Oreochromis niloticus: one gene and its partners. The protein of the gene in region 4 interacts with the protein of the main gene of each other region in a biochemical or structural test. Links are inferred from orthologs where the notes say so. Each region holds a gene or a part of one and is shown on either strand. Other genes may lie near its edges. The genes, in order: mitogen-activated protein kinase kinase kinase 11, mapk8ip2, growth arrest and DNA damage-inducible protein GADD45 beta and map2k7.

What was found.
Region 1: of the proteins of map2k7 (region 4) and mitogen-activated protein kinase kinase kinase 11, one has a biochemical effect on the other in vitro, tested with the Homo sapiens proteins (2 studies listed by BioGRID). The link is inferred for Oreochromis niloticus from reciprocal best matches to the Homo sapiens genes MAP2K7 and MAP3K11.
Region 2: the proteins of map2k7 (region 4) and mapk8ip2 form a complex in vitro, tested with the Homo sapiens proteins (2 studies listed by BioGRID). The link is inferred for Oreochromis niloticus from reciprocal best matches to the Homo sapiens genes MAP2K7 and MAPK8IP2.
Region 3: the proteins of map2k7 (region 4) and growth arrest and DNA damage-inducible protein GADD45 beta form a complex in vitro, tested with the Homo sapiens proteins (2 studies listed by BioGRID and IntAct). The link is inferred for Oreochromis niloticus from reciprocal best matches to the Homo sapiens genes MAP2K7 and GADD45B.

Annotation. Positions count from the first base shown.
Region 1 is NC_031967.2:4,888,572-4,896,518, forward strand, and holds the start of mitogen-activated protein kinase kinase kinase 11, read left to right. Parts: upstream 1-4,932; 5' UTR 4,933-6,182; coding exon 6,183-6,939; intron 6,940-7,947. Other genes in the region: drap1 (dr1-associated corepressor), read left to right, coding at 593-782. UniProt on the Homo sapiens protein: Activates the JUN N-terminal pathway. Required for serum-stimulated cell proliferation and for mitogen and cytokine activation of MAPK14 (p38), MAPK3 (ERK) and MAPK8 (JNK1) through phosphorylation and activation of MAP2K4/MKK4 and MAP2K7/MKK7.
Region 2 is NC_031972.2:55,889,003-55,896,747, reverse strand, and holds the start of mapk8ip2 (C-Jun-amino-terminal kinase-interacting protein 2), read left to right. Parts: upstream 1-4,741; 5' UTR 4,742-5,177; coding exon 5,178-5,242; intron 5,243-7,745. Other genes in the region: zona pellucida sperm-binding protein 3, read left to right, coding at 1,177-1,596, 1,696-1,814, 2,013-2,116, 2,220-2,394, 2,501-2,618, 2,732-2,814, 2,901-3,181, 3,346-3,410. UniProt on the Homo sapiens protein: The JNK-interacting protein (JIP) group of scaffold proteins selectively mediates JNK signaling by aggregating specific components of the MAPK cascade to form a functional JNK signaling module.
Region 3 is NC_031980.2:37,373,166-37,380,082, forward strand, and holds growth arrest and DNA damage-inducible protein GADD45 beta, read right to left. Parts: upstream 2,185-6,917; 5' UTR 1,983-2,184; coding exon 1,939-1,982; intron 1,721-1,938; coding exon 1,619-1,720; intron 1,504-1,618; coding exon 1,281-1,503; intron 1,160-1,280; coding exon 1,046-1,159; 3' UTR 514-1,045; downstream 1-513.
Region 4 is NC_031971.2:26,956,130-26,963,965, forward strand, and holds the start of map2k7 (dual specificity mitogen-activated protein kinase kinase 7), read left to right. Parts: upstream 1-4,822; 5' UTR 4,823-4,889; coding exon 4,890-5,013; intron 5,014-7,123; coding exon 7,124-7,171; intron 7,172-7,836. Other genes in the region: pkn1a (serine/threonine-protein kinase N1), read left to right, coding at 1-16, 222-302, 1,305-1,508. UniProt on the Homo sapiens protein: Dual specificity protein kinase which acts as an essential component of the MAP kinase signal transduction pathway. Essential component of the stress-activated protein kinase/c-Jun N-terminal kinase (SAP/JNK) signaling pathway.

The DNA of each region.
Region 1 (7,947 bases), on a different chromosome or scaffold from region 4:
CTTGACTGGGATGACATTTTAAGACTTGTCTGAAGAAGCACTAATTGGTTGGTAATTACATCAGCAGCAAATCGAGTTCAAAGCTGTCTTATCTCAAGAAATAAACACTCAATTTACTTTACATAATCTTTCAGCTCTGTTTTCGTGTTGTGCCTCCCATTAAGGTGCTGCTATTTGTCTTTTCATTTGTAAGAAAATCTCCAGACAAGCAAACTTTTTTTCTCTCTCAAAAAGTTATATAGTCTCACATTAAGAGCACATAAAGGCATATTTCTATATGACTGGTAACTGCAGCCTGTTAAGAGAGAAATCTGGTGGCTGACATTATGCCAAAAACAGGAAGAGGGCGCTCTTTTCCTACTAGAATCAATAGCCAAACCTTTGCTGGCCTCAAGTTGAGTAAGTTGTACCTGGAGTTCCCTGTAAATATCAAGATTCATTTTGGATATTTAACTCTAAAAATAGTCCATTATTTTTAGTGCACAGTTAATTTGACTAATAATGTTTAAATTTAAAAGGTAGCTTGTGCATAAAATGCACTTGGTTTGACATGACTCCTCAGAGGTTAACACCTGTTCCTGTGCCCCCACAGCTCCAACGCTCCCCCTCAGTATATGCACATGGCCAACATGGTCCCAATGGGCAACATGGCTCCGACGCAACCCCCGGGCACCGTGGCCTTCGCCCCACACGCCTCCATGATGAGCATGGCTCCACCTCCCACAGTCCCTGCACCGCACAAGAACGGGGACGACGACGACGATGAAGATTATGACTCTTAGCTCGTTCTCAGCGCTACACTCACACACTCTCTCATTCTCTTCTAACACACACACACACTCAATGTTATTTTTCAAATTCTTAAGTTGTTTTTCTGGCAGCTGCTGTAAGCAGAGGAGAGAGAGAGACTCTTCATTGCAGCCTGCTGACCAAAACGCCCTTGACGGCCAGCTATAAGAGCCACCACCACCGCGAGAGACACAAAGCCTGTACATTATGTGTTTTAATTTTCTTTTTCTTCTTTTTTTTTTTTTTAAAGAAACTTTTATTTTATTGTAGAGAAGAATCCAACGAGGATCTTTTTTAACAAGTCAGTCCCTCGATTTTTGACTAGGAAAAATGGCGGTCGTCACCGTTTTTGCAGACACGACAAGCTTGGGCCTCGCAGCTTTTTCTTTTCTTTCTCTTTTCTTTTGGGAACTTTTTTTCCTCAGTTTCCTGTTGTAGACCTGAACATATCAGTCGTTGTCACTCAGATCCTCAGGGTGGCTGAAAGAATCCGTACATAGTAGTTGTTGAAGCTTTCTTTCAAGGCAACAGCACGGTATTTGGAAGGTGATCATCGGAGAGGTTGGTGTCTCACTGCTGAAGTGTTATGACTATGTTATAGATTGGCTGTGATATACAGCTTTTAAGCTGTGAGCTGTACTTCCCGGCTTTGTCACGACTTGCAGCCCAATTCTCCGGCTGTAACATAAATAAGGAAGCAGGTGTATTTTTTACTATACGTTAGCTAGCTACAACTTTTTTTTTTCTCCCCCCCCAAATGAGTTTCTATTTTTAAGTCGCGTTTTTATCAAGAGAACTGTAAACCTCCACAGCTCTGAAGTCAATCATATCAGCAGGTTAATGAGTTATTGATTATTTGTTGTTCATGACCCTGGCAGAGGTCTGTTACTTTGGCAATTGGATCTTGTTATTATTATTATTACTTTACACGACCATTTAATACCCCTAAATTGCCCATCTGAAGTATATTGTGACTCTTGGACCATATGTTTGTTTTTAAAATCTTTTTTCCTCTATTGTCCTCTCTCATTTCTGTTCTGGCCTCTCCTCCAATTTTGAGTAACTTGCTCCTTTATCCTGACTGTTTTCCTCCCCTTTTTAGATTCTTTTAAATGTGTTGATTGGAAGCAGAGTTGGGGCACCCGTTTATGTGTCAGTCTCAGTATGAAATGGTCGCAAACAGACAGTTGGCACTGTATTGTAAACTTTTAACATTCTTTTTATTTTGTATGTAAAATAAAGTTCATATTTCAATTAAAATGGTCCTTGTATTGGTTTTATTTCTGCATTGGAATTGAGAGCTTGAAATACTTTCCATATTCAATATCGGCTTAAAGGCAAAACCAAAGTACACTTCCTAATATTTCAAAAGCCCTCCACTGTAATTTTTTACCTTCATGGGTGTGGAGTACATCCTTGGTAGTTCCAACTCCTTGCGCTTTGGAATTCTCTGCATTTTCTAATGTGCAGTTTACCTTGGATGCTGTGCATCTGCCGACCGGTGACTCAAGCAGCCTGAAAGACACAGCTTTGCAGTCTCCTTCTGGTATTTAATCAGATAAAAGTGCAAGACAGTACAGGTTTGTGGAAAAGTGAAAGAGGTGATTGTTATCGTGGTCTTGCGTTGTGTTCAGAGTAGCTGGCACACTGTTCATCCAGCCCCCTTTCCTCTTCCTCCTGCCTCTATTTTACTTTTTTTAAACAGTCCCCTTTGTCGTGTAAACGCAGCCGCCTCTCTTACACCCACCCCCAAACACAGCCGACCAAGCAGTGCAGAGCTGGGACCACGAAAACAACTGCATCCTTCCTGCACAAGCGTTGACTCAGCGCACTGTGAGGAGGGAGGGGTTTTGCTCAGTGTGTGTGTGTGTGTGTGTGTGTGGGGTAAAGAGGGAGGAAGGTGGGATGGGGTGTCGGTAGTTGACTTTAGGAGGTTGGTGTTCAAACAAACGGCAGCCGTGGTGCAGGGAAGGAGGGAGGGGAGGGGAGCCATCAAAGGGCTAACAGAAGGAAGCACGCTGTTTCCACACAGGAGCCGGCGGGGACAGAGGTGACCCTCTGATTCCCGTCACCTCCCGAGAAGGCACTGACTTACAAACATGGGAAAATATGGCCAAGAGGAATTCCCTGACCTTTTCCAAGATAAAGTCTTTTTGTTTGTATGGATAGAATGCACCTTCATCAGTGGGAACACCAGCAGTCACTTACTAAAATATACTCCAGTCTTTACTGAAGGCTATTTTTAAATAACTTTTAAATATTAGGTGACTACAAAACCATGGTGTGCGCCCTGTGTGGGTGTTTTTGTCATGTTAAAAAACATGGTTGGGAACGTAGATGGACCAGTCAATCATGAGCTTCATTTTTATCACCCAGCTCTCTCTTCACAACAGCAGATGGATGGTTGTGGATGCCACCCTCCCTCTCTGCTTACTGATACTTAAAATTCCTTTACTTGGGGCAGCAACAAGTCCTCGACCCAGAGTGGCTGAAAGCCTTGACCCAAGACTCAAAGGTGCTAATTCTCATCCACGTGCTGCTGTAAACTGTCCCAGTGCAAACGGGAGGTTATGGTTTGATGAAGCCAAGAAACGACATCAGCAGCAGCAGAAACAAGATCCTGAGACCACTGAACCTTCCCCTTCTGCAGTTTCTCATGAACGCTAGAAATTTTGTCCATAGAAATTATGAACACAAACAGTGACAAAGGACAGCCTGGCAGAGTCCAACACCAAAGAATGGTCTGACTTATTTTCAGCAATGCAATGGACACTTTGAGGAATGAAAAATTTTCCTCCAAATCCACAAAACACATGCTGACTGCCGCACACATCCTTGAAAAAATATCTGGTAAAGTGTTCAGTGACCAGGGCCAGTTCCTGATTCCCAGGTGACATACAAGTATTCCAAGTATGTGGACAATTTTCGTAGTTTTGCCTCTGTACATCACCTTGGTGGATTTAAAATCAAACAATCAACATGTGATTAAAATACAGACTTTCATCTTTAATTTAAAAGGTTTAACAAAAGCATTGCATGAACTGTTTAGGAAATACAGCCACATTTACATAGAAATTTGTTCTAGTATAACACTAGATAATATTCCATGTAATATTGAATTAAATTATAAAATATAAAAATAAAATAAAAATCCAAAATTTTATGTAAAAAAAATCCAATTATGAAATACTGTATTTATGTAGTTCTCACAATCTGAACTTTTCACTGCATAAATTAATCTTTATTTTGCACTAATGGACTTCCATCACCAGGTGACATCATCACCAGGATTACTAAATATTCTACCATACTTATAACTATAGTGCAGCATTTATGAGTTTATTTTTCCCCAGGTTCTTTCAAAATAAAAGTCAGATTAAACTGTACCGTAAAATCAAAACAACATCTGCGGTTAAAAGATGTGTCTCTTTTACCCAGTATTTCAGAATCACATCATTAAATGACTATTATTGTCAATTCGTCAAAACTCATTTTAATCGGGCTAGATTAAAAAAATGTAAGTGTAGGCAAAAACTTCCTCTTTGTTGTTTTGTAAGTAGCTGCTTAATTTGGTGAAGTTAGCTAACAAGAAGTTAGCTAACTTCGAAACACGGGAACTGGGGAAGTCTTTTAAAATAAAAGTATCAGAACTACAAACTATAGTTTTTAAAGGAGGCCACAAACCACTTTAACTTTATTCTTTTACCTGTGCTCACATGTCAAAATAATTATTTCTTAACTCAGGTTACTGCTGCAAAATAGTATCCCGTTCAGATCTGGGTACTTTTATTAGGTATATAATATATACTAACTTGAAATTACATTACACAGGGCTTCGTATAGGGTTTTAACTGCATAGGAAAGCAAGATTATTAACAACAACAACAACAACAATAACAATAATAATAATAATACTAATAGTAGTAGTAGTAGTAGTAGTAATAGTAGTACTATTATTATACTACTTAGTATATATAGCAGTAGTTCTAGTAACAGTAAATGTAGATATAAGTTAGTATTATAGCGCATTGTGATGCACAGCTTGGTAGCTAAACACTTCCAACTTCTAAGTTATAACGCAACCACGTAAAGGCGCCCACAAGTTTTATTTTGAAAGTTTCAAGAGAACGCGTTACGCCGTTCCGCGTAACTTGACGACGCTCTGTCATCTGACTCTTCCTGTTGGGAGAGAAAAAAGTTTTGAAACCCCACCCTCTCCACTGACCGTAAGCGCAGACGTAGAAGTGGTTCGAGAACCTGGCGAGTGAGCTCTGCCCGAGGAAGACAAGTGTGATATGAAGTTATGATGGAGTTGTTCCGCTCTTTGGATACCGACTGTAAGAACGGGGGACTCGAGACGGACCAGGCCACGCGCTGAACTCCCACCAGGAACTAACGGGATTTGTTTTTACTGCGTTTCTCTGAGGAAAGTAGAGCCGAGCAGGTTTGGAGAGCTCTTCCTGTTACAAAGTCAGCGGTCCCCAAGTTTGCTTTATGTTATGGTAAAGGCTGGCTATTTGTGTGCTTCCCATAAGACCGTGAGCATGGATACTTTGGCGCAATGGGATGCGGGATTTCCTGCGGAAGTGCCGCAAAGTTGCGGTGAGACGCCGTTATTGGAGTTTTGGGCTTAATGCGGACTGGACAGCGCTGAAACTTGTCGTAAAACACTGGTTGGCTGGACTGAATGCTCCTTTCCTGCTATTCTTCTCCGCTTCTCAGCGCTTCCTGCTTGTGGTGGCCACTGCACTTAATGGCTAAAAATACATAAAAACTTAAAATGGACAGTTAAGTGTGGTGGGAACCTTTATTACCAGTTGCAATAGCAGTACCTGGGAGTGTTTCACAGTAAGCTGAGTAGTTTTTATTCGTGTTCTTAAACTTTCCCTCTCTAAAAAAAAACAAAACAAAGTCAGGACTCAACAGGTGGCAGTTTTGAATGAGGGGGAAGAAGAGCTAAATTAGCCATAATGAGGTGATTCGAGAGGCTCTTAAATACAGGCCGGTGAAATGATATTGTGCTTAAACCATGTGTTGGAAAACCACACACCACATCACTTGAACAGAGAGAATTTCAGTGGAAGCAGTGCTGTCTTTCTGAGCTTTGAAACACTTAGCCTTAATCAAACAAAAGAAATCTCTAGTGATTCATCCGATGGAGAGACGAGTTTAATGCGGTGATGAATAAAAGACACTTGCGCTTCTGTTGTCTTTGACTCCTCTCCTCTAGCCCACTTGTTGGTCCAACTTTTGAACACATTTCATTAGTCCCTGATGAGCCAACAAGAAAGACAGGAAAGGGAGCGAGGCGCAATAAAGTACTCCTTTGTACTTTATTTTCAAACCCTTGGGGTGCTAAATCAGATCCAGTCAAAACATCTGCTTGAGGCTCCATGGAGCCACTGAAGAATATATTCAGCCGTGGCCCGCTGTCCAACTGGAAAAATTTGGAACAATCGCAAAAAGGGAACTTCACCAACCCTGTGTGGACAGCCTTATTTGACTATGAGGCATCCTGTAAAGATGAGCTCACCTTACGTAAAGGCGATCTGGTGGAAGTCCTCTCTCTGGACTCGGAGATATCAGGGGATGAGGGCTGGTGGGCGGGAAAGGTCAACAACAAGGTGGGTATCTTCCCATCCAACTACGGTTCCTTCAAGCCGAGTGGATATGGAAAACTTCCGGGCAGTGCTGTGGTGGATGAGCTTGCTCCGGCTGTGGTGGGTGAGTTTGAACCAGAAGAGGTAGATTTCCGGGAGTTGAGCCTGGAGGAGGTCATCGGGGTTGGGGGATTTGGAAAAGTGTATCGTGGTACATGGAGAGGAGCGCTGGTGGCGGTGAAGGCCGCCCGCCAAGATCCGGACGAGGACATCAGCGTGACAGCGCAGAACGTGAGGCAGGAGGCCCGTCTGTTCTCCATGCTCACCCACCCCAACATCATCGCCCTGAAGGGCGTGTGCCTGCAGGAGCCCAACCTGTGTCTCATCATGGAGTACGCCTCAGGTGGGCCGCTGAGCCGTGCTCTGGCAGGCCGTCGAATACCACCGCACGTCCTGGTCAACTGGGCTGTGCAGATAGCCAGAGGGATGTTGTATCTGCACAGTGAAGCCATCGTCCCTGTCATCCACCGGGATCTCAAGTCCAACAACAGTAAGTCCTTCAAGCCCGCAGCGCAGATCAGCATAGCTTCAGTCTGTCTGTTGGGGGTTAGTTCAACGAAATCAAAGGTTTGGATATAATTACAGGGCCTTCTGCTTAGGAAAGCCTCATGGCTCTAATGAACATGGCTGTACTGTAAAGCTCCTAAAGGAATCTCTCAGTGTTTACAAAGCTTTATCTAGAACAAAGAGGGCCTTTTAAGCTATCATTCAGTTTGCCAGATTAGTCCGTCTCTCATTCTGATTCTGTATCATTATTGATAAGAAATTCAGATTTATCTAGACTTTGACATCATGTGACTCCTGGGCTATATAAGGTAGGCCAGACCTATAGACGGCTGACGCATACCAGGAAAAATTAACATAAAGTGTCTTAGGGAAATGCAGGGCCAGTGTGTGCCAAACCAGTCTGCAGCGCTCCACTGAATGGATTGAACACACCACTCTTCCAAAACATGCTCCTATATTTAGTTTGGTGGGGCGCTCTCATTACAACTTTGTATTGATTTGTGGGGGATGTGCACCCTAACCTTGCCAGCAAAATTCCCTCACAGCATAACTCCAGGTCCCTTCACTGCATGGGTCAATTTACTTTTGTTTGTCATCTTTGTGTGCCTGCTTGTGTGTGTTTGCATACTGCTCCTAGGACAAGAATACCAAGTTTTTCCTGTGAAAGAATGCAGTGGACGAGTTTTACTTCTCGGCACCGTTATATCTCACACTTTGGACTTTAACGCTGTCCTCTTCTTGCATCAAAGGTCTTGCGTCAGTGTTTTCGGGGCCTTGTGGCAGACACGTAGGCGTTGGACCTTGTCATTAAAGCAACAATGCAGGGAGATGTATCACTGATAAAGCTTTCTGTCTCCCCCTTTTTTTTCTGTAGAATAAGAAGCTCTTTTCTCAGCTCTAACGGCAGCTTTAACCCAAACAGAGAGCCAGCTGAATTGTGCAGCAGCTTGCTCTCTGTTATTATCATTCCTGTGACGCAGCATATAATCCC
Region 2 (7,745 bases), on a different chromosome or scaffold from region 4:
CATGCATCTCAAACAGAATATACAGTTTCTTAACCTCCTCAGAGTCAAGCTCTTGTTTAGGATGCATTTTTATTCATTTGTTTTTTAAGTCACTCTTCATACGACTAAACTGTTTATTTTACGTTAAAACCCAATAAAGTCATGAATTTGTAATAATAGCATCTTGAGAGGCAATTCTGAGTAAATTAAAAAGTGGTATAAACAAATTAAACCAGAGAAGAAGTATTGTGTAAATTGTACAGATACTATTATTTATTTATCTGAGCCACAAGAGAAACTTGTGTTTCCACAATTAAACATTCTGTCACTGTTGTCTGTACAGCTGCACTCATTAATCACATAAAAACAGAGACACTTCTTTTACACGTTCTTTTATCCCCCCCCACCCACACAAAACAATGTACTTTTGCAAGATCCCATAAAACCTTTTGCGAGATCCTGAGAAAGGCTTTTCCCCCTGCATTTATCGTACTTTCATCGATACCTGTGAAGCTGTCCAGAGTACTGCAGCTGGTTGTTAATGAATTCTTTCTCATATCCGCTTCTTTCATTTTGTGGTTGGTGGTTAATCTGTTACGGATTAGAGCCATATTGATCTGCAGAGCTTTACACAAGGTGCTTTGGCAAAATATTGATTTTGATCTACTATGTTAGGGGCACCTAAACCAGGGTCAACATAACCTTTTGTGTCCTGTTTTTCTGCTGCATCTTTGTCACCTGTTTGAATATCTTTTCTCACTTGTTTGAAGAAAACATGCTTGAAGAAGATTTGCCTGTGTGCTCCACAGTCACATTTTATGACTAAGAAACTGAAGAATCTGAATCCAGATGTATAAAACAGTTGCTGGATATCTCCAAAAGTTGAATCTGTTCATCTGGACGTAGCGTTTTGTGGGAGAAACGTTTCGTCACTCATCCAAGTGACTTCTTCAGTCTCAGCTGACTGCAGGTTTCCCCAAATCTTATAAACAGTACATTTGCATAATTGCTGGATAGTGACTGCAGTCATTCCACTGGCTAAAATTTGCACTCATCAACCCTGAGGGGAATGGTCAGCTGAAGGGGTGGGAATGTAGCGAAAGTAAACAAGTTGACTGTGTTATAAAAGCAGGTGGACATTTCCAACTCCCTTACAGCACCTAGTGAACTACTGTGGGCACTTGTTGTTGTGAAACCATGCTGCTGAAGTGTGCCACTGTTTGCCTTGTGGCACTGGCCTTGCTTGGTTTCTGTGATGCTCAGGGTGTGAGCCGTACCTCACCACCTTTTGTGCCTAAGGTGTGGCCTCCAGACCTCCAACAACAAAAACAAATATTTGAAAAACCACTCACGTGGACATACCCTGAAGATCCTAAGCCCAAACCCAAGGCTGACGTGCCGTTCCAGCTGAGATATCCAGTTTCTGCTGCAACTGTTGCTGTTGACTGCAGGGAGGACATTGTTCATGTGGAAGTCAAAAAGGATTTCTTTGGAGTTGGCCAGCTGATAAATTCGGCTGACCTTACCCTGGGATCATGCGCTGTTGTCGGAGAGGATACGGCAGCTCAAGTGCTGATTTATCAAGCTCAGCTGCAGAATTGTGGGAGCACATTAAGAGTATGGAGAATAAATATTACATTATTGTGAAATTTAATTCAAGTGCTGGGAACAGGTTTATGTATAATTTGACTTGTTTTGTATATATATGTTTGATAGATGACTGGAGATTCCTTCATCTACACCTTCACAATGAACTACAACCCCCAGCCTGTGGGTGGTTCTCCTGTGATTAGGACCAACAATGCAGCTGTAGTTGTGGAATGTCACTACCAAAGGTACGTAAACAGTTGGGAAGATTTGTTAAGATAAAGACATCAAAACAACAGAATTATATTGCTATTTAATGTGCTCTATAGTACGACCTAAATATTTTTAGTAATCTAGAATTTACCAAATGTAATCTGGATATTTCAATGATATGTTATTCTTGCTTTAGTTTTTTGCATTCCTGTAAAACATGTCCTGTCACTTAGAAAGCACAATGTAAGCAGTCTCGCTCTTGAACCCCTCTGGGTGCCATTCTCTGCCGCTAAGATGGCACAAGAGTTTCTATACTTCACCCTGACACTCATGACTGGTGCGTTTAAGATCAGTTTCTCAGTGTATTTTATATCGTATGCGACCTTGATTCAAAATGCATACTTGTTTGAATTATAAAATTGTCATGTCTTGTTTCACAGATGACTGGAAAAATGAGAGGCCAAGCAACCAGTATTTCCTGGGTGACGAGATTAATTTTGAGGTCTCTGTCATGCAGTACCACCATGTGCAGCTCCGTGTTTATGTGGACAAATGTGTAGCTACCCTTTCAGCCGATGCATCTTCTAGCCCAAGATATGCATTCATAGAGCATGGGTAAAGCAGTTTGATGAGATTATTGAAGTTGTTTTGTATATTAGGACCTGATTATCACAGACGCCTATGTTACTTTGGTTATTTCACATTGTTTTCTTGTGTGCAGGTGTATGATTGACGGTAGGCTCACTGGATCTGTCTCGAGGTTCCTGGATCGCACTGCAGAGAACAAGCTTCAGTTCCAGCTTGAATCCTTCAAATTCCTGAGTGCTAACAGTGGAAAAGTATGCAATTCCAAATTTGAGTTACTGAGTGCACTGTGTTATATTTTCAACAACATTACTAATGTAGAACTATTACATAGAATAATAACATAAATTCTCTCCTGTTCTTAAAGCTGTACATTACCTGCAACTTGAGAGCAACATCTGTTGCCCAAGCCATTGACAGTAACCACAGAGCTTGTTCCTACTTCCGTGGGTGAGTCTACCTTTGTACACATGTATCAATGATCATTAGACCAGAACTGATGTGGCGGTACTGCTTACATTTCCATTTCTCCCAAGGTGGAAGGAAGCTAGTGGATTTGATGGTGCTTGTGGCTCCTGTGAGTCTGGACAAACTAATACTGGAATTATAAGTGACAGTACTGGAGGTGGATTTGGTAATACAGGCACGGGAAATACAGGAACAGGGACTACAGGCACGGGAACTGGAAATACAGGAACAGGAACTGGAAATACAGGAACGGGAACTGGAAATACTGGTGGTGGAACGCCGGGTTCTACAAACTTGGGTACTAAGGTCCCTTGGTTTAGGAGGACACGGGACGTGTCTCAGCAGGAAGGTATGTGTTTTAAAAAAATACAAGTATTGCAACATTTTAGTAGAGGGAAAGTTTCATTTCATTTGGTCCTACAAAAAGATTAGTAATTGTTTTATGCTTTCTATTTTTTAAGTAAAAAAAAACATAATGATGCATACTGCAACAATTCTTCTTTCTTTTCTCAGTTTTGGAATGGGAAGGAGAAGTCACCTTGGGTCCCATCTCCATTGAAGAGAAGACGATAGCTTAAAACAATTTCCTGCTATAAACACGGCCATTAAAATGAACTTCATCTGTGGTTCATGCCTGAACATATGTTAATTTCATTCTTCTTATTCATAGCTCACAACAATATAATAAGACATTGAGGAATGAAAAGGCCCTTCACTGAAACGTAACTCCTTTTACATGCCCCCTCTCTGTAATTACAAATGTTTTATATGGAGCTTGTCTGTCCATGGATTGGAACTATTCACATGTAATGGAAATAAAAATGCAACTGTTTGAATTTATTGTGTAATTCATTCAGAACTTTCTTAAGCTGTGCATTGAATCTATTGTAAATTGAAACAAAAAATAAAATCTACTCATAAAGAAACATTGAATAGATATAATAACAAGTATAATGAGTTAAAAGAGCAATCAGGGGTTGAGCAAAAATTACTCAATAGCACATGTTAGACAATATAGTCATCTGTCTTCTTGTTGTAATTCTATCAATATGCATGCTTTTAGGGTAAAACAAACAAACAAAAAGGTAAAACAAATCAATATCATATCACTCAGAAATCATAAGTGGATGAAGGAAGAAGCCATTCACAATCAGCACAATCAGATGCCATTTCAGTCAATTATCAGAGTCAGCATCTACACCTCAAAGAGCGAAAAAACCGGAAATCCGGGCTCTAATCATGGCTTTTATTGTGCTTCCATGTAAGTCCGGTTTTCATTCAGCAGTGAGCTTTTGCTGTCACCGTGTGGTATAAATGCTACACTTCAGTTTAGCGAGAGAGATTTTCAGCACCACATGCAGTGAACAGCTACACGGGAGGTCTGATCATAGAGCAGTATAAGTAGCCAAACACTTCAAAGTGTGCCTATAGGTTTTATGGATGTTCTCTGTGTTTTATTAAACTCATTTTTATTTGGGTCACGATGGAAATCGGCAAGTTATGGACCGGAAATTAAAATTCATATAATTAGATTTCATGTGTTCACCCACACTGCAGAGGCCACCAAATGGGACACGTTACAGTATACAGGCCTTGTAGACCTTGCAATTAAAAAGCGTCCTCCAGTCCATTCTAAGGCACGGTTACAAAACGAGGATTTAAAGTTGAAGTCCCTGCCTTTTCCCGGGGAATCCTCGGATCTCCCCAAGGCTGGTCCACACGGACGTTAGCGCGAAAAGCACGTTTGCTTTGCCTGCAAATTTTACTCACTATAATGTCATCTAAACAACTTTATGGCCGCTGTTTTATCTGTTTTGCTCCGTGTGACCCTCTAGGCTCTGACTACATCCACTCAGCACAGCCTGTTCATATGGTATCAGCACTGACGTTATACCGTCTCCGCTCCACACCCCCTCCTCCTCCGTCTCTGCCTGTCTCCGCACTGCTGGCCTGTATCTGTTGTGTGTCACGGGCAGCATCACAGCGGCAGACATTTGGAGAGAAAAACACGGACTGCGGATACAAATTGCCCGCTTCATGTTTTGCAAGGACATAACCGGGGAACACAGAGATTTCCGTGTTACTGCGCGCTGCCGCTGAAGCTCTTTTTTTTTGTCTTATTTGCCTTGACACCCCTCCTTATCCTGCCTGTGTGGATGGTTGACTGCAGATTTCATGGTGCTGAGCAGGCTTGTCTGATTGAAGGCTTGCGGCCAGGGGGGCATCTGTGGGGCCGCAGATAGAGAAACCTCTGTCCACTGTCCCGTCCCGTGCGCTGTAATTGTGAATGGACTGCGCTCCCTCCGTGATTTTCTGCAGTCGCTCTGAGTCATTTGTAGAAGAAGATGGCGGACAGGGCTGAGATGTTTTCCCTATCCACCTTCCATTCTCTCTCTCCTCCTGGATGCAGGTAAGAGCTCGTATGTAAAGTGACAGTGAAGGGTCGATGGAGGATGCGCTGGGCTGATATGAAAAAGCGCCATGCATATCGGTCTGTGCTGCTTTGATGACTGCAGTAAAAACGCACATCCCCAGCCTAGGTTGTAATAGATACTGTGAATAACCTGCTCGGCCTTCTGCTGCCTCACTGCGCGCATGTAGGTGCTGCAGCTGAACATTGCTGGTTGTTTATGTTTTTGGGAGAGACGACTTGGTGAAGAGGGAAAAAAAGACTCGCGTTTTAGTAATTTCTGAAAATTGCAAAGAATGGCAAATTGTAAAACATATTGCATATGACTGATCTCTAGCTGTGGCGACAGTCACCCGCTTTGCGCATTCTCTGTGTGAGGCCCACGCCCTGTTGAGTCCAACCCAGGCAAGGGCACGTTGCTGAACAATGATTTACGGAAGTCCTACTGATATTGATGTTGTGTCAAACGCCTCTAATGTGACCTCTGCGACAATCAGCATGACAAATCACCCCCGGTTTCTTCTTGTAGAAGCATATTTGTGGGTGGGTTACTCTTGCAGAGGCAACTTATTTCACACGTAGCGTTAAATCAGTGCTCTCTACAAGGGTGTTGTTGTTGTTTAAAATATACAGTTTGGCTTGTTGTAGTGTAATTGGCCTGGTAAGATGAGAAACACTGAGACATCTTGTAGTAAATTTAATGAACTGTGTGAAGAGAGTGCAGTAAACCTACTTTTGATCCTGGATGTGTATTGGTAACAGTGTAACATAACAAATAATATTAATGTGTTATAACAATGTGATCAGCATAAACAGACTTGCAAGACATCACTAACAAAGACCAGAGTTAAAGTAGCACCATAACTTACAAGTATTAAACAAGTAAACCAACCTGGTATCTTTTCTAAGCTTTAGACAAGAAATGCAAAAAATAAAAAATAAAAAATAAAAATAATACAGTTCTGGATTAAAAAAAATCAAGCTTCTTATTAATTGTAGACATTCTTAAATCATAAAATATACAATAAAGAAAAATATTCATTTTGATTTTCTCCTAATTTACATAATTTGTACAGCCTTTCATGGTCCTGGATGTATTTTTAGTGCTATATTCAAGGAAGTTTGCAGGAATGAAGGTGTCCTGTTCACAGTCCTTTGACTTCTTGATAAGTTGGCAATAACGTGGGCTTCAGTGTTGTATTTTTTCTCAGCGTGGATATATATTTGCAATTTAATCTATAACCAGAGGGCACAGCTCTAATCTGTATAGTCAACCATTTTACATCTTTAAGTTCCTGAAGCATAATTTAACACAATACTTTGGATTTGTTGATAATAGACCCCACTGGCTCTTACAGCTGATTATTTGAATTCTAACCTCATAGTTCATAAATTCATCAACAGTAAATCCTATATATTGATGTATGTACAATTCCAAAGGCCAAAGTTCTTACACTACTTGCAGTATCTTTTCCCTGGAATGATTAATAATAATAACAACCTGTCTCTATTTCAACTTTTCATATGATTTTCATATGTTATGACATATAACCTTCAGGGGCTGCTGTAAGGCTTTACTCTGTGTCACCAAACATAGCAGGAATAATAAAGAAAACACTGATATTTCTAACTGTGTTGCACCACTACAACATACAGCTACTATAAATTACTAGCACAGAGTAGCAGAGAGAAGCTGGATAAACTACTACACTAAAAGTCTGTATCTGGCGTATTTATCAGGATAGCATAAGCCCTGTGCTCTAATTTGTATGAAATAAACACATTTCATTTCAACATGCCTGCTTCTGCCTCCAACATGGCTCATATCCTATAGAGGCAATCACATTAGCAAACCAGTCCTGGTAGATTTTATATCCACAGCATGTACTCATGTGGGATTTCAACTGCATTGCTGGATCATGTCAGATCAATATGACCAGATCGTTTGCATGACTACCGGTGACCTTAGTCAGCTCACTCAGCCAAGCCCTGGCCATGGTATTAATGTTTTAAATTCACGGCACTACAGCCAAATCTAACGAATCTTAATTATATTAGAGGAATCATGTGAGGAGTAGTTTATTGCATTACTCCTTTGTGGAGGCTAATCGGTTTGTTTCTGTTGTTTTCAGGTAGTTTTTTTTATACATTTGAGAGGGAACAAGTGGTTTGTGTTTATTTTTGGTTGGCTCTTCACTTTTTGATTATGAAATATCAGTAAGAAGGGATGTAGAAAGAGAGTTTTTCTGTAAATGTCTGATTGTGTCACAGCTTTGGTGTGTGTATGTGTGTGTGTGTGTTGTCTCTTTCTCTGTGCATCTGTGTGTGACTGATTCATGAGTGAAGCCACCAGTTGTGTGATGGTGTGGTCTGGTAATCTGCCTTGCATAACCCTAACACTGTTTCCAGTAGGCAACAAAATCCATGAGAGGCAGCACCTCTCTCCCCGGAGCACCAGAATATTATTATTGGTTATAAGTTCCCCTTTGCGGATGGATAACAT
Region 3 (6,917 bases), on a different chromosome or scaffold from region 4:
CTGTATAAATATAATAAATGAAACTGAGTTTCATTTAATATAGCTGAATCAGTTCTCTGATGACAAGATCATGATACCATAGATGTCCTCTGCATGTTTTTTAGAACAGTAGGACGGGCTCAGAATAGAGAACTGAACTTTGTGCAAAATTAGTGGAATGTCCTTTAAAGAGTCCCCTTCACAGGGCCAGGGATAGCTCATAATTTGAGGTCCATGCAGCAGCCCAAGTACAAAAATTATATGAATCAAACTGGACCCAGAACGATTTGTCTTTCTACAAATATAGGACCTTGAACAGAACTTGGTAAGTTTCCTGTGGAACTCATGGGGCCAGAATTTGTTGATGGGCCCAACACTGCATGCTACTATAGTTTTCCTAGAAGCTAATTCTAGATTCTGTGACAGATTGTCCTCCTATGCGTTAGAAATAACACAAGACCCCTTAGAGATAGTAAAAAAAAAAACCACACACATACATACACATTTCTCTTAGATGAACCACACAAAAATCGATTATATTTCCATCAAAACTTTATTGACCAAACAGAATAAGACACAATGTGGCTTCACTTCTCACTTGTGGCTATTCTATTACATCAAGCAGACTCATATTTAATGTATTTAGATACATCAGTGTGTAAAATCACATCATGACAAAAGTTCCTGTGCAGCAAACAGGTAAGCAGAACACCTGCCACACCTGCAGCGCAGGTAGTCTAGAGCTTTACGTGCAGCTCTTCAGTTCGTTCATGTGACATCCATTTGCGTCACTCAAGTCCTGGTATTTCATCTTCACTTCCCCCTCTGCAGCTCCATGACTGAGACTTCCTGCTCAGTCTGGTCCAGCTTCCACAGCCACTACCAGTACCGACGTTTCACGTGCTCCACGAGGTCACAACGACCTCCCCCATCGGGCTCCCGGTTTGGGTCGGTCCGGCACAGCACAACAACTCAAACCGCGTTACTTCTGCGCAGGTTTGATTGTTTTCACTCTTTCTCACCGCTCCCCGGCGGTCTGATTCGGTTTGGCTTGGCCCGGTTCCAGTCAACGGTCCTGCAGCTCCAGGCAGGGCACCCACTGATTGCTGCATCGGCTCTCCTCACAGAAGCTGCCGACGTCTTGCAGGGCTTGGCACTGCAGAGGCTGCACTGGAGGGTTCTGCAAAACACGGTGGAGACGGACGGTTAGACTCTCGGAAACACTTTTTTTAAACTTACAACAGTATAATATCATGAACTTGTATCATTTCTCGAGTAGCTCAAAGGAAGTTCACACTTACAGTGACCAGAATGCAGTGCAGATCCCGGGGTTCGTTGCTGTTGCTGTCCTCGGTGTCCTCCTTTAGCAGCTGAGCCAGCCGCCTCATGCCTGACACCCGCAGGATGTTGATGTCGTTGTCGCAGCAGAAAGCCTGCAACAGCGTGAAATGGATCTGCAGCGCTATGTCGTCTTCATCCTCCTCATCAGTTGCGAGGATGCACAGTACAACGCTGTCTGGGTCTCTGCATGTGGGACAGAAGGTGAAAGACCCGGTTAATGTCAGCGTCATTACATATTTCTGATATCAAAAGCTTTGGCGTGGTTAATTAAGGTGAGCAAAATCAAACTTATACTTACACATTCATGAGTTTGGCGGACTCGTAGACTCCAACCGTGAGACAATCCTGCTGCTGAGCAGCGACCAGTAGCTCCTCCAGAGCTTGACTCACCGTCTCCATCCTGCAGAGAAGCGGAGGCGGTTAGAAATGTGCGAACGACACGACTAAACTGTGGCAAACAACTCTAAAGTCTACATATAAACTCCGGCGACACACTAAGCATGCAGATGCAACCTTTAAAGTACAAGCCGGCATTATAAACTCAACTAGAACGCGATCTGTAATGTCAGATCAAATGTGTCGGTGCGTAATTGTGCATCACACACAGCCGAAACTTACTTTTTTTCGGTGCTGTTTGATCCAACGACCTCTTCCAAAGTCATGTTGAAGTCAGTAAAATAATCCACAAGATCCAGGATAAGAAGAAATATCCACAGCGCGGAGATGCGGCTGTACTATGAAATTCCTGATACAACGTCCAAACACAGTGGTATTCCAGATCGTACAAAGGTCCTTTCAGAGTCCGTTAACGGTCAAACTGAGTAACAAGTCCGATTACTGCGAGTCCGTGAGTAGAAAGAAACTCTGCCTCTGTCAGCCGAAACTCTCTGTTATATTACTCCTTCCCGACCGTAGGCGTGGCCACGCCCAGTCTCTCGTTCGTTCATTGGTTTGCCGCTATGAATACATCCCCCGTTCTCTGCGCCCATTTGCTGAGCCCCAGAAGACGCTGGTGATCCCACGTTGGTGGTTTCGGAGAATCCCCCGCTCTCTCCCTCCTTTTCTTCCTACGCTTCTTGCGCCGCTCTCTCCCTCTCTCTCGGTTTGTTTACCGGCAGCTTTTCTTTCTGAGTGGAGGAATTTCCAGATCTCTGTCCCCCCCCCTCCCTCGTCCCCACTGGTAGAAGCTGGCCGAATAAAAGAAAGCTTCACCGTGGCAATGCTCTCGCATCGTGTTCGTGCACAAACCCCCCAAATACACCTGCACACCCGCGGAGACGTACATGAAATTCAAATGTATTTCAAATTATGTTATAAAAAGGAAGCTGGACCAGCTGACCAGCCCCGTGTGCGAGCACGCGCTGGGCGGACATTGTGTAACGGCGTTGTGCAAGAGCAAGGTTATAAGAAATGGGAAAAGGCCCTGTCTGATAAGCACGAGGCGAAATTCACGAGAATCTCAGATGACAGTGATGTTTCTCTTTTATATCACACATAAATTTATCTTTTTGTTTTCTTGCAAACCATTTGAGGCGCTATTGCAGCTGCAGAGCACGTTTTGTTCTGGAAGCTTCAGCTCAGCACCACTACCTCCAACAGGGATAAAAATAATCCCTATATATAGGAGCAGAGCTGTTTATCTGCTGAAGCCTGCAACAGCAGCGTGCAGAACAGAAGTATGTTACAACAACATTCAAAACTATTATTATAACCTTCATATTTCACATTCATGAATGCAGGTTCCCTTTTTCTGTCACATGCATTTTTAACATCACACGCAGAGCTGTCACACGTCTGATCGGTGGCCCTGTGTGATCAGGTCCACCTCACCGAGCCTGATATGAACTGTCTGCCCATTAAAACCAGGTCTCAGACTCCCTCCAGCGGCTCCCTAATGCATCTGCTGTCAGCGGCGAAAGCCCCAGAGAAGGCTTGTTGGAACAGCACCCTGCAACAACCGTTTGGTCACGTGCAGAGCAAGAGCGAGTCCCGGTCTTTGGAAAATATTGGGAATTCCTAAAGGGGAGGTTTAGTGAAAAACATTTTTAGGGGGTTTGATGTTTTGTTTTGTTTTTCGGGGACTTCCTGATTCTGAATTTCCACGAAAATAAAATTGAAAATGAAACTATTTACAGGCTTCACTTTACCATGTGCAGCAATTTATTAGAAATATATCAAAATCGGCCTGTAATCTGTGCAAACATAAAAGACGTTGTGTGCATAGGTAGAAGGGAAATTTGGCAGCCACGGCTAAACAGTTTGAAATCTATTTATTAGGAACATCCACAAATATATAGGGTTATCTAATAAACAATGAAATATTGTGTATTGTCGGTTACATTGTAAGCACTTAACTGATTTAGCACTTGTCCACTGAAATAGCAGAAAATCTGTTGGAGTTGCTGTATGAACAGATTTTTCTGGTGTTACTGCGCCACCTAGTGGTCCGATCTAAGGATTCACACTTTACGTGTATAAATAATTATGTCATGGTTTTGTTATATTTTATAGTGTTTTCTTACAGTATTTTTTTTTTACAGAAATAGATACAACTTAAATACATTAAAGTATTATATTTATTGCTATATTTAGATATTCATGGAAGAAAACAGTATAAAATGAAAGAAAGCAATAAAATAGATTTACAAGCAGTAACTAACAAATTATAGAATGTGAGTTTAATATAAAATCTCTTTTTCTGTTTCATTTTTTCTGAGCTTCAGTTGAGATCCAGTGACCGTGAAGGCCATAACATATGATTTGTATGAGGGCTCACCAATAACCTTATAACAGGTATGCACTTTATTCAATTCAATTCAATTTTATTTATATAGCACCAAATCACAACAACAGTGGTCTCAAGGTGCTTTATATTGTACCGTAGATCGTACAATAATAGATACAGAGAAAAACCCAACAATCATATGACCCCCTATGAGCAAGCACTTTGGCGACAGTGGGAAGGAAAAACTCCCTTTTAACAGGAAGAAACCTCCAGCAGAACCAGGCTCAGGGAGGGGCGGGGCCATCTGCTGCGACCGGTTGGGGTGAGAGAAGGAAGACAGGATAAAGACATGCTGTGGAAGAGAGACAGAGATTAATAACAGATATGATTCGATGCAGAGAGGTCTGTTAACACATAGTGAGTGAGAAAGGTGACTGGAAAGGAAAAACTCAATGCATCATGGGAATCCCCAGCAGCCTACGTTTATTGCAGCATAACTAAGGGAGGATTCAGGGTCACCTGGTCCAGCCCTAACTATATGCTTTAGCAAAAAGGAAAGTTTGAAGCCTAATCTTGAAAGTAGAGATAGTGTCTGTCTCCCGAATCCAAACTGGAAGCTGGTTCCACAGAAGAGGGGCCTGAAAACTGAAGGCTCTGCCTCCCATTCTACTTTTAAATACTCTAGGAACAACAAGTAGGCCTGCAGTGTGAGAGCGAAGTGCTCTAATAGGGTGATATGGTACTACAAGGTCATTAAGATAAGATGGGGCCTGATTATTTAAGACCTTGTATGTGAGGAGCAGGATTTTGAATTCTGGATTTAACAGGAAGCCAATGAAGGGAAGCCAAAACAGGAGAAATATGCTCTCTCTTTCTAGTCCCTGTCAGTACCCTTGCTGCAGCATTTTGGATCAGCTGAAGGCTTTTCAGGGAGTTTTTAGCACATCCTGATAATAATGAATTACAGTAGTCCAGCCTGGAAGTAATAAATGCATGAACTAGTTTTTCAGCGTCACTCTGAGACAGGATATTTCTAATTTTAGAGATGTTGCGCAAATGGAAGAAAGCAGTCTTACATATTTGTTTAATATGTGCATTGAAGGACATGTCCTGGTCAAAAATGACTCCAAGGTTCCTCACAGTGTTACTGGAGGCCAAGGTAATGCCATCCAGAGTAAGAATCTGCTTAGATACCATATTTCTAAGATTTTCAGGGCCGAGTACAATAACCTCAGTTTGATCTGAATTAAGAAGCAGAAAGTTAGCGGCCATCCAGGTCTTTATGTCTTTAAGACATTCCTGCAGTTTAACTAATTGCTGTGTGTTACCTGGCTTCATGGATAGATAGAGCTGCGTGTCATCAGCATAGCAGTGAAAATGTATGCTATGTCTTCTAATGATGTTGCCTAGGGGAAGCATGTATAATGTAAATAGAATTGGTCCTAGCACTGAACCCTGTGGAACACCATAATTGACCTTAGTGTCTGAAGAGGACTCTCCATTTACATGTACAAACTGGAGTCTATTAGATAGATATGATACAAACCACTGCAGTGCAGTACCTGTAATACCTACAGCATGCTCTAATCGCTCTAATAGGATATTATGGTCGACAGTATCGAACGCTGCACTGAGGTCTAGCAGGACAAGCACAGAGATGAGTCCACTGTCAGAGGCCATAAGAAGATCATTTGTAACCTTCACTAAAGCTGTTTCTGTGCTGTGATGAGCTCTGAAACCTGACTGAAACTCTTCAAATAAGCCATTCCTCTGCAGATGATCTGTTAGCTGTTTGACAACTACTCTTTCAAGGATGTTTGATATGAAAGGAAGGTTGGAGATTGGCCTATAATTAGCTAAGACAGCTGGGTCTAGAGATGCTTTTTGAGTAAAGGTTTAACTACAGCCAGCTTGAAGGCCTGTGGTACATAGCCGATTATTAGAGATAGGTTGATCATATTTAAGATTGAAGCATTAATTAATGGCAGGACTTCTTTGAGCAGTTTTGTAGGAATGGGGTCTAAAAGACACGTTGATGGTTTGGAGGAAGTAATTATTGAAGTTAACTCAGAAAGATCAATTGGAGAAAAAGAGTCTAAATGAACATCAATGGTACTGAAAGTAGCTGTAGATAATATTACATCTGTGGGATGATTATTGGTAATTTTTTCTCTAATGATAAAAATTTTATTTGTGAAGAAGTTCATGAAGTCCTTACTAGTTAACGTTAAAGGGATGGTTGGCTCAGTAGAGCTCTGACTGTTTGTCAGCCTGGCTACAGTGCTGAAGAGAAACCTGGGGTTGTTCTTATTTTCTTCAATCAGTGACGAATAGTAAGATGTTCTGGCTTTGCGGAGGGCTTTCTTATAAAGCAGCAAACTATTTCTCCAGGCTAAATGATGATCCTCTAAATTTGTGACACGCCATTTCCTCTCCAGTTTACGAGTTATCTGCTTTAGGCTACGTGTTTGAGAATTATACCACGGAGTCAGGTACTTCTGATTTGAGGCCTTAGTTTTCACAGGAGCTACAGTATCCAGAGTCGTACGTAGTGAGGAGGTAAAATTATTAACAAGATAATCGACCTCTGTTGGAGTAGCGTTCAGATAGCTGCTCTGCTCTATGTTGGTACAGGGCATTGAAGATGATAACAGTGGGTGGATTATATTCTTAAACTTAGGTACAGCACTTTCAGAAAGACATCTACTGTGATAAAGTCTACTCTCCACTGCTGTGTAATCAATTATTGTAAATGTAAATGTTATCAGGAAATGATCAGACAGCAGAGGGTTTTCAGGAAACACTGTTAAATGTTCAGTTTCTATGCCATATGTTAAAACAAGATCTAGAGTGTGATTAAAGTGGTGGGTGG
Region 4 (7,836 bases):
TGGCATCATGAGGAGGGTAAAGCAAACACACACACACACACACACACACACACACACACACATGCGCGTTCGCTCATACACACAAACTGTTTGTGACAAATGCTGCACTTACACGTGAAACACTGAATCAGTCCGGCATCCTCACTTACTCACAGTCAGACAGTTGATGCTTCGCTGTTATATCCACTCGTCATTTCTTATTCTCGTGTGTCTGTGTGCAGCTGTTAAGGAGGAACCCAGAGAGAAGATTGGGATCTGGTGAGAAGGATGCAGAGGAGGTGAAGAAGCAGCCATTTTTCAAAGTAAGTAGACTTAGAGCTACCTAGGCAACTTGTTGGGGGTGCAAACTGAGCCTGTCTCAGTTTAGCTTCTGCTAATGAATGTCCTGTTCTTAATATTTAGGTAAATTGTCTGTTTTCAGCAGCAGTATCAGCTCTCAGATACCTGAAAGCTTTAGTGATGTATTAATGTTAGCATGTTAGCATCTGGCTGTAAACACCCGAGAAAAACCTCTTCCACCTCTCAGTGTTTGCTAACGAATCTCCATCCTGCGTTCTCATCTGTACCTTCAGATTCGGGGCGATCGTGGCTCAAGAGTTGGGAGTTCGCCTTGTAATCGGAAGGTTGCAGGTTCGAGCCCCAGCTTGGACAGTCTCGGTCGTTGTGTCCTTGGGCAAGACACTTCACCCGTTGCCTACTGGTGGTGGTCAGAGGGCCTGGTGGCGCCAGTGTCCGGCAGCCTCGCCTCTGTCAGTGCGCCCCAGGGTGGCTGTGGCTACAACGTAGCTTGCCATCACCAGTGTGTGAATGGGTGTGTGAATGACTGGATATGTAAAGCGCTTTGGGGTCCCTAGGGACTAGAAAAGCGCTATATAAATACAGGCCATTTACCATTTTAATGTTAGCATTGTGTTTTAGACTAAGTAAAATAAAGCTGATATCTGAAGGTACAGATGAGAACGCAGGATGGAGATTCGTTAGCAAACACTGAGAGGTGGAAGAGGTTTTTCTCGGGTGTTTACAGCCAGACTGTTACGGTGGTTGTTTCGAAGCCTTTTCAATTGCAGTTTTAATTGCTCTTCTTGCTTTTATTCTTGGCTCTGCATAACCCTCCTTTGTGGTTTATTCATCAAGGACATTTTACAGTTGCTGGTTGGCTCTAGTTTCTATACTATGCAGCTATTTGTCAAAAGTTTTTACCTTGTGTATAAATTCTTGCCCTGATCCTTTATATCCTCCATCATTGCTGTGTGCTCCCTTGCATAATAGACCCACCTTCTCCTTTTCTCCGTCTCTCCCTCCAGAGCATGGACTGGGAGGCGCTGCTGCAGAAGAAGTTGCCCCCTCCCTTCGTCCCGTCCATCGGCGGCAAAGAAGACGTCAGTAACTTTGACGAGGAGTTCACCACAGAACCTCCGACGCTCACGCCTCCACGTGAGCCCCGTTCGCTCTCCCGCAAAGACCAGGACAGTTTCCGGGACTTTGACTACGTCTCTGACCTCTGCTAGTGGACCCGAAGCCAACAGATCTCGAGGAACGTTGGATTTCGACGACTTCGCAACAGTTTCAGCCAGACCAGAGAGATATGTCTCTAGCTGACTGTCCGCGCTCGTCTGTCGCTTCTTGTTACACTGTGAATGAATGAAACTGAAGACGAAGAGACTGTGTTTCGTGTGTCTGCAGAGTTTTAAAGATCATGGACTGAGCAAATGAAAGCCTGGACAGATATTAGTTGGGGTTATAATGTTCTATCACAAACAAAGGCCCCCCTTTCCAGTCACTGTACAAAACTGCAGTGGGTTTTGTAGCTTGCAGACTTTAAAAAGTCTCCTCCCTTCTTCTTAGGCATCTCGGCAGTCGCCAGTTCAGCTGTAAGAGGCGGAGCTTGCTGTATTTTTGTACTTTTGACTGTTTAGGGGTTGCTCAGTGGCCTCTCATACCAATGCCTTACGTTTATACTTGTATTTGTTCCACAGAAAAAAAGCATTTTGTTTTACTTTGTGGCCCTTTGTGTACAGCAGCAGGGCGAGGAGGGATACAGTGTGCTGCAGAAACTCCTCTATGTTTTTGGAAGAGGGAAAAAAAAGACACTCAGAGCTGATAACCATCAGTCTTTTGACTGCTTTTAGGTGTATTATTAGTTAACTAATGGGTAAAGAACCACTGTCCTGCTTCACTGCAGTGGACCTTCCTTTGGATGTCCACCAACTACTTTTTAAACTTGTGCTGCTCGGATTTTACAAGAGCAGTTGACTCGTCCTTTTTAGTTGAATGTTTGGGTTTTAGGAAGAATTTGATATAAATGTGTAGCACACACACACACACACACACACACACACATAACCGTCAGCATAAAAGCTTTGTGGAAAACATTTTTATTATTCCAAAAGAAAAAATCTGAACACTAAACTGTGATGTACAAGTAACAAACTGCTCTTTATGGGTTTGGAGACACGTTCATCCAGTCACCTGAGTGCTACCAGAGATTTGTGAACATGAAGTAAGTGATTTCCCTCCGAGGCGATTAAATCTTTAACCTCACTGGCTGTAAAAGTTGTTTTAGTGTCTGTTTTCGGAGCTTAAGCCCTGACAGGTTACGCTCTGGCTGCCGCGGTCGCTGTGGCTGTTTCCGAAACTTGCTGATGTCTAAGTACTTGTGGAAATTCTGCCGGGCGCCATACGCAAAACAAACATGAGCTGCTTTTCCACAGTAGAACCAATTAGAGAGGCGAGAGCTCCAATTAGAGGCGAGAGCTGGCGTAGACCTTTGGTAATACCTTTGATGATATCTGTAGGAAAACGATGAGCCAACAGTGAAAACCTGTGTAACACACAACAGCAGTGGTTTGTTGTTAAGATGTATGTGCGGTGGTGTGGATTTTACCTGTCTTGTGTACGACAGTACAGAACCATGTGAGTATGAGATGACGTATTTTATAAAGAAAACCGTGAGTGAATATTATCGTCTCTTTATTGTCATCGTGGGACGGGGGAAAGGGGCATCTCAAATTCATTTAAATAAAAATAACAGTAATGCGTTGGCTACTCACCTGCTGCAGTGATTGAATGAATACTCAACGGCCACTTTATTAGATACGCCTGTTTTACTGCTCATTAACTCAAACATCTAATCAGCCAATCACATGGCAGCAACTCCGTGCACTTACGCACCTCTAGACCTCTCGAAGCAGAATGTGCACATCCGTCACTGCAATTTAGAGAATAGTCCAAAACAGAGGAAATATCCAGTGATTGGCGGTTTTCTGGGTGAAAATGTCTTATTGTTGTAAGAGGAGTGAGGTCAGGAAAAAAAGAACCACTTGCTAAATACAAAGTATGTAGAAGAGCATCTCTAAACGTGCAACGTGTTGAACATTAAAGCAGATGGGCTACAGCAGCAGGAGACCACTCTGGCCATACGAGCTGAAGTCAGCATTAAGAACATAAAAGCATGGATCTATCCTGACTGTTATCAGTGGTTCAGGCTGCTGCTGGTTTAATGCCGTGGATTATATTTTAAGACAGTTCTGAAATGGTATTAGCAAGGTGTACCCAATAAAATGGCTGGTGAGCGTATATAGCCCATTATCACAGATTCTGTATCAACATTTATCAGTACATTCATTCAAACCTGCCAGAGCAGGACTAAAATGAAATTAGAGGATAAGTAGTTTATTCTCCTGATGGACAAAGTCAAATTATCTGTCATTTCTTCTTCTCGTGAAATTACATCCGAGAAAAATGAATCAAGTAGCAAGCTAAGTATTTCTGCTCTGTAATGAGCATCTGTTTTAATATGTGAGTCAAAATTTTAGAAGAAAAAAGACTCCTTGTGGCAGTTTTAACCTTATCACAGGACTAGTGAACAAACATATCACTTTAACTGGATTCGCTGTATTTGCACCAACTCCTGGAGTCTCCCTGACTTCTGACTGGCTGCTAAAGAAGAAAGCATCACTAATGGAAAAACATCAGAACTGGTCCTTAATGGTCGGCCTTTCCTAGAAACAGGAGTTCCTGGATCCGCAATGATAAGTGCCGATCTGCATCTTATCCTCATGTACTCTCAGCACCATGTAAACAGTAAATTCTAGTAATAATAAATAAATCATTTCACTTCAAATTATCTCAGTAAATGTCCACTACCTGCAGGGAAATTATAACATGAATAACATGTGTGGAATCTTTTTGTGTGGTTTTTATATCTAAAATACTCTGAACACTTCATATTAGATTAGATTGATGTTCATATCTTGCATCGAGGGGTGGAAGTACTGAGAACAGCAGCTGTAACAATAAGGATGTTGTACATACTATAAAATCCTGGTGTAATCTACCTGTTCAGCAGCAGCCCACTTTCATTACAACTTTAATCATAAGAAATGTCTCTTTTTTTCCTCTTAAATATTCATGTGCTGACTTTATTTCCCTGAAAATCTGAGCATATTCAACTCCAACCCAGTCTGGTAGGTCAGACTACCAGTTTTAAACCTTCCCTTTCAGTCTTGCTGCTATCCTTATATCACAAATTGTACTGAAACTAACACCTAAACGTGCATTTTGTGCGCGTCCTAAAATGCAAACAAACTCTGATTTCTACTTGCTGCCCAGTAACAGGGGTTTTTTTCCAAGCCTGAAAATGGGTAATTAATTGGTAATTGCTACCAAGAATATTTGTTTTTAACAGTATTAGGGTATAAAATGTGATTTTCTTTAGGTGGGCACCAAGAATCTATGGGAAAAAAGAATGAGCGTGTGTACTGCAGCGTGTGTGTATATGTGTGTGTATATGTGTGTGTCAGTCAGTCAGTCAGTGTGCTGCTGGCCTGCCTGCCAGAGAGGGGAGTCGAGAGCTCTGCTGGGAACTACATGGTGCTCAATTTTTCAAGATGTCGTCGCTGGAACAGAGGCTGTCGCGAATCGAGGAGAAACTAAAGCAGGAGAATGAAGAAGCTCGCCGGAGAATCGACCTCAACATCGACATGAGTCCACAGCGGTCACGACCGAGGCCGAGTGAGTGTCCACAGGGGAGGACCGGGGTGTCGGTAACGGCCACAATAGCACGGGGAAAGATCGGAGCTGCGGGGCCGGAGAGCGGGGGGAGAGGAGAGGAGCGGAGGGAAGGAGTCGGGGCTGTTATGCTGCTGCTACCTTCATGCTAACAGGCTAGCTACATAAACAAACACAGACTCAGGCTGGTCCGCTGATTTTACTGCCAAATTAATAATTAAATAAGTGGGACATTTTCTGTAGTGAGTAACGTAAAGGAAAAGTGTACAAACCGAAGCGATGTTACGAAACATCTTGCCGGTAGACGTGTCCCTGAATCTGTTTTGATTCTGTCCTGTCAAACATGCTAAGCTAGCAGGCTAGCAGCCTCTCTGATAGTCTGTGGCGGGGCCCAGCGTCAGAAAATTTAATGCAGTTTCAGTTTGCGCATGAAAATCTGTGGTCCTGCCAGTCAGCCGCAGAGCATCTATACACTCTTACAACCTGTAACCAGTACATTTGATCGTGATTTTTGCCATAGACTTTATTTTAGTTGCCATTTTGATCTTGAAGAAACATGCTAATTTGAGCAGGCTAAATAACGCTAGCCCTGGATACGCTAACTTTACGTAGGTTACGGCTTAGCTGTTGTGGCAAACACTGGTGCGGCGTAACATATCTTGTGAAAATTGAGATTTGTCGCACATATATTGAATGAAGCGCTCTTTGGGTGTTAGTGGACACAAACTCTGTGTCACAGAAGCTGGTGTTAGCAGTGATGTTGGGGCCCTTTCAGGAGAAAAGTCAAGCAGCAGGGAGGTCTGCAGCCTGCCTCTGCTGTGGTTTACACACCAAAGCTCTTCATTATCTTTACATTCTTACCAGCAGACTTTCAAAGTGTTAGCAATCTGAACCCCTTATCATTTTTTTTTCTGCAGATCTTGTTGTCCGTTCATTAGGTTCGAGACCACAAACCTTCGTTTTCCTCCTGTTATTTGAATTGTTTTTTATGAAGCTGATTATGTTGTCACAAAGAGAGGGTTAAATCCGAAGTTTTTTCTTATTGTTGAAATCTCATTTGAAGCCTACAACCTGCTAAAAAGGTGCACCCGGAGATTCAAATCCTGGTGATAAAGGTCATTTCTGCGAGATTAAAGCTTGATTTATTGCCAAAAAAGGTGCAAAATTGGCTTTTTTCACCTTGTGTTATTACATGAAAAGTCTGATTGCCTCCCAGATTGACTCCATTAGAATCACTTGTTTTAACTTTGGCGTCATTAATGTCTAATGAAGCCATGCAAAACTTGCCCATCATGACACTTTTCCAACACGACAGGCCCTCTGTGCTTTTTAATCCACTTTATTTTCTTGATAGCGTCACAAGTATAAATTGACTGAATAACAACAATAACTCTTTAAAAACTACAACAAGATAAGTTTTATCCCCACTCCATACTGACTGGAGATAAAATGTTCTTTTTTACAGAATGAAGATGCACTAGTCTAATATTTGGACAAAATATTGAAATATGATTCCTCCAGTGTTTAAATACTGCGGTTTTCCGGTTTAGGCGAAAATGGTGAAATCACCCACCAATGTGTACTTAAGGGCCTGTACCTCAGAGTATTTACTGAATGACAGTCAACTTTTGCATGGCTTCAGTAAACACACTAAAGTTACTGTATAAGAAAAAACAGCTGATTATGAGGAGGCCGGATGGAGCTTTTTTCAGATTTAATTGGTTTCATATGAAGTGACACAGTAAGCTACTGACCCACTTTTTCTTGCACCTTCAATACGTGGCCTTATTTTGAATCCTGGGAAAAGAGTGCCACAGAAAATATGAGAGAAACTATGATTCATTAATGTGCAGTGTAATTGATTTTAGTCTTCATGAGATTAATAGACAATAAGAAAAAGTTCAGTTTAAATTTAAACCACTCAAGTTATGTTGTGAAGAAATGAGCGAGTGATGTGTGTGTGGTGGGGTGAGGTTTTTGTTTGTTTGTTTGTTTGCTTTTGAGGGGTTTTTGTGATTTTTGACTGTGTGTGTGTGTGCAAACATGTGCGATTGTCTCAGTAGAACACTGCAGTAATGTGCGTGTGTGTGTATATTTTCTTTCCTCCGTCTAGTCATCGTGATCCAGCTCAGTCCTGCTCCAGCCCCTTCCCAGCGTGCAGGTATCATTCAATCCATCGCTCTCTCTGCCACTGCACTCCCCCCACCTTACCAACACCTTTGTCCTCCATTGCATCATCCACTCCCTCCTCCTTCATCTTCTCTCTTTCTTGTTTTTGTTTTTAATATAAATGCACACTTCTTTAGCCCTATAAGACAAGAATAACTTTGGCTGGTCCTTACATTCTCATTAGTTTTCTTTGTTCTGGCCCTGCAAGTAAAGCCTAAAAAACACCTCGATACCACGACTTTCTCCACGTTTCTCTTAACATCCCGTTTAATTTAGAGGTTGAATGGATAGGGCTATGGTGAGAAATATGATACTGTATTTACAGATGCCAGCTAGTGTTCAATCTGACCACCGTCTAGTATGGGGTTATATCGTTGTTTTGTCTTGGCAGACTAGAATAGACTTTGAATAACTCATAAAAGTAACTTATGTGAAAGACATGGATTACCATCAGCAGTCCAGCATATAAACATCCAGTTTTATTTCCTACTCAATAAGGATGCACCGATCATACAATCTAAATATTGGATAATGGTGATAATACTGTGATCCAACAAGTCGATGCTTTTTTTTCTCTAACCATTGTTATCATTGTTAAGTCTGACACTTGTTTGGAAGCTTTTCCTGGACTTCATACAAAGAAACGTGTTTTCTGTC